Sus scrofa: one gene and its partners. The protein of the gene in region 3 purifies or fractionates together with the protein of the main gene of each other region. This does not show direct contact. Links are inferred from orthologs where the notes say so. Each region holds a gene or a part of one and is shown on either strand. Other genes may lie near its edges.

Region 1 (3,643 bases), on a different chromosome or scaffold from region 3:
CCCAACCTTGCAAAGTGAGGCTAACCTCAAGGCAGGCTTGGGTCAGCCTGGTCCTTCTTCCTAGGAATCGACTCAAAGGAAGAGGGGGAAAGGAGTTCCCAGGGGGTGCAGCAGGTCAAGGACCTGGCTTTGTCACTGCTGTGCGGAGCGCTGGATCCCTGGCCTGGGAACTTCCACATGCCATGAGCATGCCCGCCCCCCATTTTTTTTTTTTATTTTAAAAAAGGAAGGGGGAGGGGGAGGCTGGTTAATATAAAGAAACCACTTCCACTTTCAAACACTCGCAAAGGCCTTTCTCTTTGGCCTGAGCATGCACACACGCACACAGACTTGCAAACCACACAGCAGCGCCTTTCTGCCTATTCAGCTCAGGATAAATGCGAGGAATTGTTGAAGGCAGGCAGACCAGTTCGGGGAACTACAATGTAATTAACTTTGAGCGTGATTAACGGTGCACTGTTTAGGGACCTCACGTGAGCATCTTCGTGATGAGCAATGGCAGCGGAGGCTGGCGGAAGCTCAGGGATCAGACGATGCCTTTAACTACAAGCATCACCTCCCCACTTGGTCCCAACCACCCCTCGTATGTCCCAACAACTTTTTGTACTTTATGACGAAAATATCGGGAGGGGAAGGACTGAACAAAAATGTGCTGTAAAGAATTGTTTCCTGATGCCTTGTGGCTGGGAGATGAGAGCGAGAACACACAAAAGGGTAATAATGACTGCAACCAGTCGACTACTATTTAAACCGCCCAATTCTAACATGAAACATCTGATGAGCACCTAATGTTTACAACACACAATTCTTTTTTTTTCTTTTTGCCTTTTCAAGGGCCGCTCCCTCGGCATATGGAGGTTCCCAGGCTAGGGGTCCAATCGGAGCTCTAGCCACCGGCCTACACCAGAGCCACAGCAACGCGGGATCCGAGCCGCGTCTGCAACCTACACCACAGCTCACGGCAACGTCGGATCCTTTAACCCACTGAGCAAGGGCAGGGACCGAACCCGCAACCTCATGGTTCCTAGTCGGATTCGTCAACCACTGCGCCACGACGGGAACTCCAACACACAATTCTTTAGAATCTTTATCTTCGCTCTGGTCAAGGATTCCACCTCTAATTAGGGTAACCATGAATCCTGGGCTGCCCAAGACAGTCCTGGTTGCTTATGAAAAATACCAAATATTCTGTGATCATCTCTATGGGAAAGGAATCTGGAAAAGAATATGCGTGTATGGATACCTGAATCACTTTGTTGTACAGCAGAAATGATCACATTATAAATTAACTGCGCTTCAAAAAAACTTGAAAGAATGAAAAAAAAAATTAACCATGGAAGCAATTGGAAAAAGAAGAGAATTAGGACATGTTTGTCTTCATTTTACTAAAACTGGAAAACATTAAATAAAAGACTTAGGTATTTATCCATAAAAAAAAAAGTCCGTGGCACATATTGTCTGGATAGGATTGTTATTAGGCATCTCCTGGTGTGGACAATAAATTATACGGTTATCCTAACTTTAAATGAACTCTTGGATATGTAATCAGACTGACTGATTATTTTAGTGTTTGGATCACTGTCCAGTTTGCATTTTAACTACTCCTCCAGTCCTTAAGGAACAACCAAACAGGAGTTCCCTGGTGGTGCAGCAGGTTAAGGATCTGGTGCTGTCACTGCTGTGGCACAGGTTTGATCTCTGGCCTGGGCACTTCCACATGTCATGGGCTTGGCCAAATGAAAAAACAATACAAACCCCCAAAACCCCAAAACCAAATGGACCAAAAATTTGCCTCTTCCTTTGAGGGCCTAATGATAAAAGCACTAAGATCAGTCTTGCAAAGATAACTTTGCTCCAGAATATTCCATTTCTTCAGTGGTATTCAGTCACAGGATAGAGGGGGAAAGGCCTTCAAGAAGCTTTTAAGTTCCATCTTTCTGGGGGGTGAAGGAGCCAAAGATCCATTCCCCCCTTGAAATCCTGCTCAAGACTTTGCCACCTAAAACTGAGGAAAGCAAAGCTTCCCTAGTGCGGTCAGGCGATAAAGGCACAGAGGCAGAGTCTCACCCGCCTCTCAAGGAGGCCCCGAAGGTACCTCCTGAGCTGGCTCCGTCTGAAATACACTGGTCTAATCCAACTCCTTCCCGTACAAATGCAGGAAAATGTGGTTATTTCTTCTGTTCTTTCCCACATATTATAATTTCATTCTCTCTCCCGCTAATTCTATAAATAAGGCCAGAAGTCAAGAGCAGGTGGCCCACATTAATTGTCACAGGAAGTTGTGTCTTCTCAAGGGCTCTGAGTACATACACCTTGTAACAAGGAAACACAGAATAACGGGTGTTAAATTCTTTTCTAAACTCTAACTAGATGGCTCAAATGTAGTCACTCAAAACAACCAAATGGGGAGCCTATCCTGTATGTTTCTTTCTCTGGAGCTGAAAAGAATACAGAGGTATTAAACCCATTTATTTATTGATTTTTGTCTTTTTAGGGCCGCCCCCAAGGCCAACGGAGGTCCCCGGGCTAGGGGTCCAATTGGAGCTACAGCTGCCGGCCTATGCCACAGCCACAGCCACGCAGGATCCGAGCCACATCTGTGACCTACACCACAGCTCCTGGCAACGCCAGATCCTTAACCCACCGAGCGAGGCTAGGGATCGAACCCGTGTCCTCATGGATGCTAGTCAGATTTGTTTCCACTGAACCATGACAGGAGCTGCTTAAACCCATTTTAAAAATTAAGGTTCCAACGTACTTTGAAGAATAGCTACCAAGGAACGCACAGAAAAGAATGATGATGCACGAAGATGTTCATCCTCGTGTTGTTTATGACGATACACAGTCCACGTTCCAGGACCAAGCGTAGGAGAGAAAGCACAGCACAGAAGAGAAAGATGACGGCTGCGGCTGAGCCGATGGAATTCTAGGGATTTACTTTCCCACACCTCCCAAACTTTCTTTTTTCTTTTTCTTTTTTTTTTTTTTTTTTGTCTTTTTGCCATTTCTTGGGCCGCTCCCACGGCATACGGAGGTTCCTAGGTTAGGGGTCGAATCGGAGCTGTAGTCACCGGCCTACGCCAGAGCCACAGCAATGCGGGGATCCGAGCCGCGTCTGCGACCTACCCCACAGCTCACGGCCACGCCGGATCCTGAACCCACTGAGCGAGGCCCGGGATCGAACCCGCACCCTCATGGTTCCTAGACGGATTCGTGAACCACTGTGCCACGACGGGGACCTCCCCAAACGTTCTTTTTGCAAATGAAACGCAGCAAAACCCCCGGAAGGCCCAACGGCACTTACCACGGAGACTTTGCTCACTACATCTCTTGCGACGGCTAAGCCCTGAGCAAAGGTCCGGGCTGCTACAAACGCACGAGTGACCTGGAGCTTCAGTTTTCGAGGGACATCTCCAAAGGGCTTCAGCTGCTCCGTGTACTTGCTCACGCATTCCAGATACTCGTCGGTGAAGTGGTACTGGGAGTTCACCAGGCGGAACATGCGCTCCAGGAGGCGGGCCCAGAAGTCCTGGAGCATCTCCTCCAGGTTGACGTTGCCCGCCACGTAGTAGCGCTTCAACTCCTCGAAGAGATCCTTGAACAGCTCGGAGTTTTGCATGTATAAGTGGCCGTAGGTCTTCAC
Region 2 (3,643 bases), on a different chromosome or scaffold from region 3:
GGCTGGGGCTGCACCTACCGGAGGAGCACAGGTGGCCTGCTGGAGTCCCAGGTACCCCTGCCAGCTGGGCATGGAGAGCCCTTCGGGGGGTCCCGGGACAGCCTGGGCCCTGTGCGCAGCTTCATCTGCTCCCACTGCTCCTTCCCAGGTTAACTGCGACTCACAGCATTTCAGGTGAGGCAGCTGAATGCCAAAGCTTCGAATTCCCAGGGGAGGCGTGGCCCTGGGACCTGAGGGGTCAGTGACAGGAGCCTGAAGCCCAAAGGTGTCTGGCATCTCGTGGAGGCCCAGGCTGGCCACCGGACGAGTGGAGATGCAGAGCGAGGCCTGAGCCTCAGGCTGCACCAGGACCCTTACCCGGCCCGGGGGCCCCCGGGGCCACCCGGGGCCCCGCAGCGTCGTCCTCGCTCCCCGAAGAGCTGCTGCTGCTGCCGTCCTCGCTGTCCTCTGAGGTCCCAGAGGCCTTGGCCTTGGGGCGTTTTGAGGGAGGGGCTGCAGGAACCCCAGGCTTTCTGAGCTCGTTGGCCCCTCTGGTCTGTGCAGGGGCGCTCTGGGGACGTGTCGTGGGGAGTGTCCCCAGACCGTCGGTCTAGTTTGGAGAGAGAGCGGAAGGAACAATCAGGGGGCAGGATCGGGGCCTGCTAAGCAGCTCAGTCAAGGGCAGGCACCGTGTGACCTGCTCTGCACATGGGCCTCATTGAACCCCCGTGGCTGAGACGGGCGGCAGAAGCCGAGCAGGCGGGTGCGGGCACTAGGGCCCCCGGGCAGCTAGGTGCTGGTGCCAGGTCCCCCTGTGGTCTCGGACCACTGTGCCCTCCGCGCTGGGCCTGCCCACCCCCGCTGCCCAGCTCACCGCACACGAGGACGGGGTCCTGGCGGCAGCAGGGCGGCCCTCACTGGCTTTCTGGGCGAGGACCTTCAGGGCGGCCTGGGTCAGCGGGAGGTCAGCTGGGCTCCTCTTGGTCACCTGTCGGGGCCGAAGGCAGCCTGAGACTCCCAGGTCCTCCAGATGCCACCCAGGCCACCCGGGGCCAGTTCCTGCCCAGCAGGGGGAGGGCCCCAGAGCTGCAGGAGGAAATGTGGGACTGAGGGCACGGAGCACTGCCGCCACCTGGGCAGAAAGCGGGGCCGCGAGCTCCTCTCGCTCTCGGGCCCCAGGTCCCAAGGCCTGATCGGAGCCTTCACCGGGGAGGCCCTGGGCCTCCAGCCTGGCGGCTGCGACAGCCAGTCTCCTGCTTCCCACAGCCGCCAGTAGCCAAGGAGAGAAGTGGCCGCGGGGCCTCGCTGAGACCTGGGGGCTCAGCCCCGGCCGCTCCACCCTCCCCCGACTCCTGCACCCCAAGCACCTCCTCCGAGGTCCCCGCACCGGGTCCACCTGCCTGCCGTGCCCCCCGCGTGCCCAGGGAGGCTGGCCCAGGCTTTCTAAAGCAGGTCATCTCACTGTCCCCGCTGGTGAGGGCTTCCACTCTGGGTGTCCTCGTGTAATGGCTGCTGCCTCGACCTGAGAGGTCCCCGAGCACAGGGACCCACCTGCGGCCGCCGCACCCCGTGCCCGTGGGGACAGACGCTCAGCACCCCGGCCGGCTGAACGGCCAAGCGGAGGCAGGCCGTGGGGTGCAGGGAGCACAGCCTAGCCCCGCTCAGCACCCGCGCCCCCAGGAAGCGCCTGTGGGCCGAGGCCTCCGTGCAGAGGTGCCCTCTCTGAGGCGCCTTCTCGGAACGGGGCAGGGCGATGGGCCAGGACAACAGCAAGCCGCTGCCGCCCCGGAGCAGGGCTGGGAGCCAGGGCCCCGCTGCCGCCGCTGCCTGACCCTGGCCCTGGGTCCAGCCTCTCGCTGAGGGAGAGGCCCAGGCTCCGCGTTTGAGCGACGAGCCGTCAGCTCCTCGCTGCCAGGCTTCTGGGTGCCAGCAGGACCACGGCAGGAAGGACGACCCGAAGCAGGGAAGCCTGGGGCGCACGACCGGAGCAACCTTAGCGCGCCCGGAGAACAGCCCGGCTCAACGCCGGGGGGAGACCCAACCAAGAGCTTGCTGTTGGCAACGCTGCCAGGGCCCCTCGCCCGCCAGGTACCTGGGTGGCTGGCGCCTCCGGTTTCCTGCCTTCTGCCGCCTGCCCGGGCTCCTTGCCACTGCTGGCCCTGGGGGCCGTCCTCGGGGGCACCGGGGGCGCGGTCGCCGAGCTGGTTCTGAGGGCTGAGAAGGAGCGGGATGGGGCACGTCAGGCACAGAAGCCTGGCACGGCGCCCGCCCCCACGCCAGGGGGAAGACACGGCACCAGCCGCAGCCACGGGCAGAGGCCCCGTCCCAAGGGCCCGGCACAGCCCCGGCCTCCTGCCCCACGGCTCCGGCTCGACACAGCGCGGGAGCCGCACCCAAGCAGCCGCTCTGGAGCCCGGAGGGACCCGGCTGTCAGCGTGAGGCGGCACCTCGTGGGGTGAAGGTGACTGCGCACCTGTACGGTATGGTCTCACTGCAGGGGCAGGGAGGGCTCACGGGTGTGACTCAGCAGCAGCGACTCTGGACACTGGGAGGACAGTCGCGCTGTTTCTTTCAGGCTCATCCGCATTTTTTTTGTCTTTTTAGGGCCACACCCTCAGCATATGGGGGTTCCTGGGCTAGGGGTCCAATTGGAGCGACAGCCGCCAGCCTACCCCACAGCCACAGCCACAGCCATGTCCGATCCGAGCCATGTCTGCGACCTACCCCACAGCTCACAGCAACACCGGATCCTTAACCCACAGAGCGAGGCCAGGGATCGAACCCGCATCCTCACGGATACTGGTTAAATTCGCTTCCCGCTGCGCCACAACGGGTGCACCTAATATGTATTTCCTAATGAGCCTACCCAGACCAGGTATGAACAGCCTCATTAAAAGGTGTGCTACTACCAGTAACAGCAATTAACTGTTTTCCTGCTGTCACGGTGAGACCACGGGTTGTCAGAAGTCAGATATCCCAGATCTGGCCCCGTGTCCAGGCTCTTCCCTGCATGTCTCTCTTTAGGGGCCACCTCACCCCCGTACATGCCGCCAGGAGCAGGAGGCTCACTCCCTCACAGGCCTTGCCCCGCTCAGGCGTCGGAGGTCACAAGGCTCGTCCCTCCGACCATGGAGACGCCTGGTCCCTCGGCCTCCAGCCTCAGGCCCGGGTCCTGGCCTTTGGAGCCAGCCCCCCATCAAGAGGAACCAAGCCTGGGCCCAGACCTGGCCCCCAGCGCCCCAGACCAGCAACTGGCTGGGACCCGGCCAGCGTCCCACGTGGCATCTTCTGGCTCCTGGGCCCCAGGGGTGGGTGTGGGGGGCGTGCATCTGGCAGTGGCAGCAGGGGGTCGGCCCTGCGGGGCCCGAGCTCACCGGGGGCTGAGCACTGCGTGGCAGGGACCACGTCCTCGTCCTCACTCTCAGAGGAGCTCCCAGCCGTGCTCTCTGAGGCCTGGACCTTCCTTCCGGCGCTTGTAGCCTGGGCTTGGGCGAGGGTAGCAGCTGGGCCAGCTGGACTACGGTTAGGGTCGACAAAAATCAGAGGGGTTTTAATCACCTTGAAAAACAAAAACAGAACACAGCCCGCGGTGATTAACGGCTTGGCCGGGGGAAGGCAAGGGTGGGCAGGGGAGGGTTTTACGGGGGAGGGGGGCAAAGAGCTC
Region 3 (3,743 bases):
CGTACAATTCGGTGCTGCCTCCAGGAAGTTCAGCCTTCAATATGCAAACAGAGCCAAGGGCCAACCTACCCCTTCCAGGCACCTGGGGTCTCTATCTTTGAGCCCTTGGAGGAAAATTCACTGAGGATCCTGCTTCCCTATGGGTAGCGAAGGGGAAATGCCGGAAAGGCCCCAGAGTAAAGGGTTGCTATGGAGATGGAAGTTTTAAATAAAGAGGAGGGGAGGGGATGATGTTGCTCAAACCCCTTCTCCAAGAATTTCCTTTGACCTAATTCCTTCCCCAAGGGTTCTGTGACCCTGGTCCCCATCAAGGAAGGGGAGGTAGGGAACTGAGAGACTTCAGAAAAGAGAGGGGCAGGGACACAGAGAGACAAAGGCAGAACCTGCTGTGGAAGGGGAGTAAAGAGGCGACAGAGTAAAAAGGACGCAGGCACAAGGACACAGGAGGGGAAGTGGGTAGGAGGGTTTGCAGAGGCCTATGGGTGCCCAGCAGAGCCCTAAAACCTCCATGACCATGTGCTCTGAACACCTGGGCCAGGAGCTGTCCCTGGTGCCTGGACCTTTGAGCTGGAACCCTCCCATATTCCCCTAGACATGCACTGAACTTGGTGTGGGACCGCTGTAACCTGGGGAAGAGGCCAGCTGTGGCGGTCCCCCTCGGTCAGAACAGTTCCTCAGCCCCTCTACCTGTCATCTGGGCAGCTTAGGTAAAGCAGGGCCAACATGTCGAAGGCACAAGCATGGGGGATGGAAATGAAGCTCAGAGACCTGGCTGCTTCCCTTTACAGCCCCTCCTCTCAGCTGACCCAGCTCTGCCTAGGCTCCCCAGCCACCCCCACCCCCATCAGCTGTCCTCTAGAGGCCTTAGGTCCCCAGGGCGTCTCTTGCAGCTCAGCCTAATTCCCTGCCACTGCCGTCCCCCTCCCTGACAGTGGAGTGTGTCTGAGGGCTAGAAACAGCACCCTGAACAACCCAGAAACAGGATAACAACTGCACAGCATCCCTCCCACCCCCCACGCCACCTCAGTTTCCCTGGATGGAGATCACTGACTCTGTGGCCTCTCCCAGGGCAGGGACTGACCACCTGCTGGTGAGTGAGTGGTGGCCAGGATGAGGGCTGGAGAGGAGAGCCAGCAGCTGATATGGGAAAGGCAGCCTATGGCATGTGGGGGCCCACCCCAAACGCTGAAAAGAAAGGGAGAGATCTCTGCTGCACCCCAGGGCCCACCATGACACTGAGAGGGATGAAACCACCAGTTTCGCAGGTGAGGAAACCAGGGCCCAGCAGGTGCGTAATACTGGCAGGAATCAACTGAGGGTGGGGAAGGGCACCAGGTCTTTGCAGGCAGTCCTGGGGGGGCTCAAAGCCTAGGCCTTGGAGGAGGGTAGCAGGTCAGGGGCTGGACTGCTGCAGACTGAGCTTTTGGTAAGGGACAGAGAGCCCTGTTTTCCAGGTGGGAACCTGGTGGAGCAGGCTGTGCCTAGGGTGCGCGGACAAAAGCAGTTTGGCAGAGCTATGGGGGGCTGGGAGAACCTAGGGTCTCTTCTGCCAGACACTACGGACTGGGGAAGACAGAAACTCACTCCTTCATTGTTCACCCTGCTCGCCGGGGGAGGGGGGGGGCTGCTCCCCATTGTGCTGCCACCCTGACCCCCTTCCCCAGTGCTGCTGACTCGCCCCCGCTGGCACAGCAACACACATGCGGGAGGCACACGTGTGAGCACCAAGCCCCGCACCTCCCAGCAGAAACATGTGCGTCCTCCACCCCCACCGCGCAGGGCTGAGGCTGTTCCCTGGACCCCCAGCGGGCCCGGTGCTAAGGCTTTGAAGCTGGATCTCGGCTAGGGGGCTGCAGGTCTCCAGGGGCTTGAGCCTCCACCCCCATCCCGCGGCAGCCCCGCCCAGCCCCCTTCAGGTTGTCGCCCATAAAGAACTCTCCGTTGTCATGGAAATTAGTGACTGCTTAGCGGGAGGGAGGGGGCCCCGGGGGCAGTTGGGAGGGGCTGGAGGCGGCTCTGGGAGTCCAGTGGAACGCCGAGCCCTTGGCCTCTACCCCCATGGGGCACCACGAATGTCGGAGGGTTAATGTTCTCAGAATTAAGAGCTCAGCGAGACGGGGGTGGGATGGGGAACAAGGAGGGGAGATTGGCCTGGACTGAGTCTCAGAGGCTTCCCCTGGGACCCCCGAGCCGTTCGAGGTGATGGGGAACTTTAACCCAACCCCTCACACCGGCCCCTGGATCTGCAGAACCCGCGTGCTCTGCCCCCGCCGGGACCCCAAGCCCTAGCAGCGTCCCCGCGCACTAAGCTACACGAACCTTCGGCCAGAGACCCAATCCCCTAAGATACCACAACGTGCATTCGCCGGGCGCCCCCCTCCTCCCCGACCCTGCTCACCCCGCACCTGCAGCGCTGGTGGGTCAGAGGGAGGAAGCGATCTCGAGTTCAGTGCGGCGCTGAGGGCTCCGGGGGCGACGGGTAGAATCCGCTCGGGCACGCGGGGCAGACGCGGCGCCAGCTGCAGCCACTTCGGCTCGCGAACCTCCAGCATCTCCCGCCGCTCGCCAGCACCGGATTCGCACCCCGGCCCGGGGGCGGGCTAGGGGCGGGGCCTCCATCAGTCGGCTCCGCCCCGACCGTGGAGAAGACTGAGGCAGGAATGAATCCCACTAGAAGGCGGGTTGAGGAGGAGTAGCAGCGGCCAGGCACTCAAAGGCTACCTTGGACTCTGGGACTGAGCAGGCAACAAGGGCCAGAGGGGCCTTCCTATGCCCACTGTAGAGGGTGCGGAGTAGAAAGTATTGGGGAGGGCCTGAGTCCTGGAACCGCCCAGGAGTGTCTTGCGGATAGTAGTCCCCAGGGGACCGGCACTCTGCCCAGCAACCAAAAGCTGACCCAAAGAGGAGAACCCACGTAGAAGAACTAAGTGGGCGGTTGCTAGGACAAGCTCAGTTACAGACTGGCCTGCCCTTAGCTTGTTAACACACAAGCATGTCTGTGTGCAAAATGAGGGTTCCAGACCTTGGTGGCAGAGTCTCCTACCCATCCCACCCTCCTCTCCTACAAAGTCAAGGCCTTTCCCAGGCTGGCCCTGTCTGCTCCCTCCTGTGTGGCACCAAACTTCTCAAGCTTTAAAAGTTATCTACGACATGGTGCACTCTATTTTCTTCCCAGTTTTATCACCCTCAGACACTTCATGAGCAGCATCACCATTAGTGGCCTGGGCTGGGATATGAGGATACAGGAGAACTATAACACCAAGGTGCCCCACCAAACCTGGCATCTGATTGGAGGGAGGCTCAGAATTGCCGGGAAGGGGCTCTGAAGGAAGTCCTTGCCATTTCTCTGTCCCTTGTCAGGGATACGCACAGACCCTTGCCTCACCCCACTCACAAGCCTTGAAGCCAGTATCTGAAAGCCATGCTTACATTCCTCTGTGCCTGGAGTTGGGCTGCACCCCATCTGAAACTTCTCAGTGAGCCTGATGACCCTATCCTGTGTGGTTCATCTCCATGGCCCTGTTGAGGGAGTCTCCCCTGCATGGCTCCCCATAGCTGTTGACAGCAGTGACTGCCCAAGTGATGAAGTGGGGCTGGGACTGGGGCTGGAATTCTAGCCTGGGAAATGACTACTCAAACAGGATCACTCAATATCTTTCTCCAGATGAGGTGTTAAGGAACCCTTCCCTGGCTTGGTCACTTTTCTAGGCAAGGTGGGTACCAGCTCTTGGCTCCCTGGCTCT

What was found.
Region 1: the proteins of CAMKV (region 3) and GPC4 purify together in Homo sapiens (affinity purification with mass spectrometry; 3 studies listed by BioGRID and IntAct, counting the BioPlex papers as one, with this or other methods). This does not show direct contact. The link is inferred for Sus scrofa from reciprocal best matches to the Homo sapiens genes CAMKV and GPC4.
Region 2: the proteins of CAMKV (region 3) and TCOF1 purify together in Homo sapiens (affinity purification with mass spectrometry; 3 studies listed by BioGRID and IntAct, counting the BioPlex papers as one, with this or other methods). This does not show direct contact. The link is inferred for Sus scrofa from reciprocal best matches to the Homo sapiens genes CAMKV and TCOF1.

The regions. Positions count from the first base shown.
Region 1 is NC_010461.5:109,327,902-109,331,544, forward strand, and holds part of GPC4 (glypican-4), read right to left. Parts: coding exon 3,305-3,643; intron 1-3,304. UniProt on the Homo sapiens protein: Cell surface proteoglycan that bears heparan sulfate. May be involved in the development of kidney tubules and of the central nervous system.
Region 2 is NC_010444.4:151,392,183-151,395,825, reverse strand, and holds part of TCOF1 (treacle protein), read right to left. Parts: intron 3,538-3,643; coding exon 3,354-3,537; intron 2,194-3,353; coding exon 2,072-2,193; intron 968-2,071; coding exon 854-967; intron 590-853; coding exon 358-589; intron 15-357; coding exon 1-14.
Region 3 is NC_010455.5:32,390,388-32,394,130, forward strand, and holds the start of CAMKV (caM kinase-like vesicle-associated protein), read right to left. Parts: upstream 2,593-3,743; 5' UTR 2,553-2,592; coding exon 2,399-2,552; intron 1-2,398. UniProt on the Homo sapiens protein: Does not appear to have detectable kinase activity.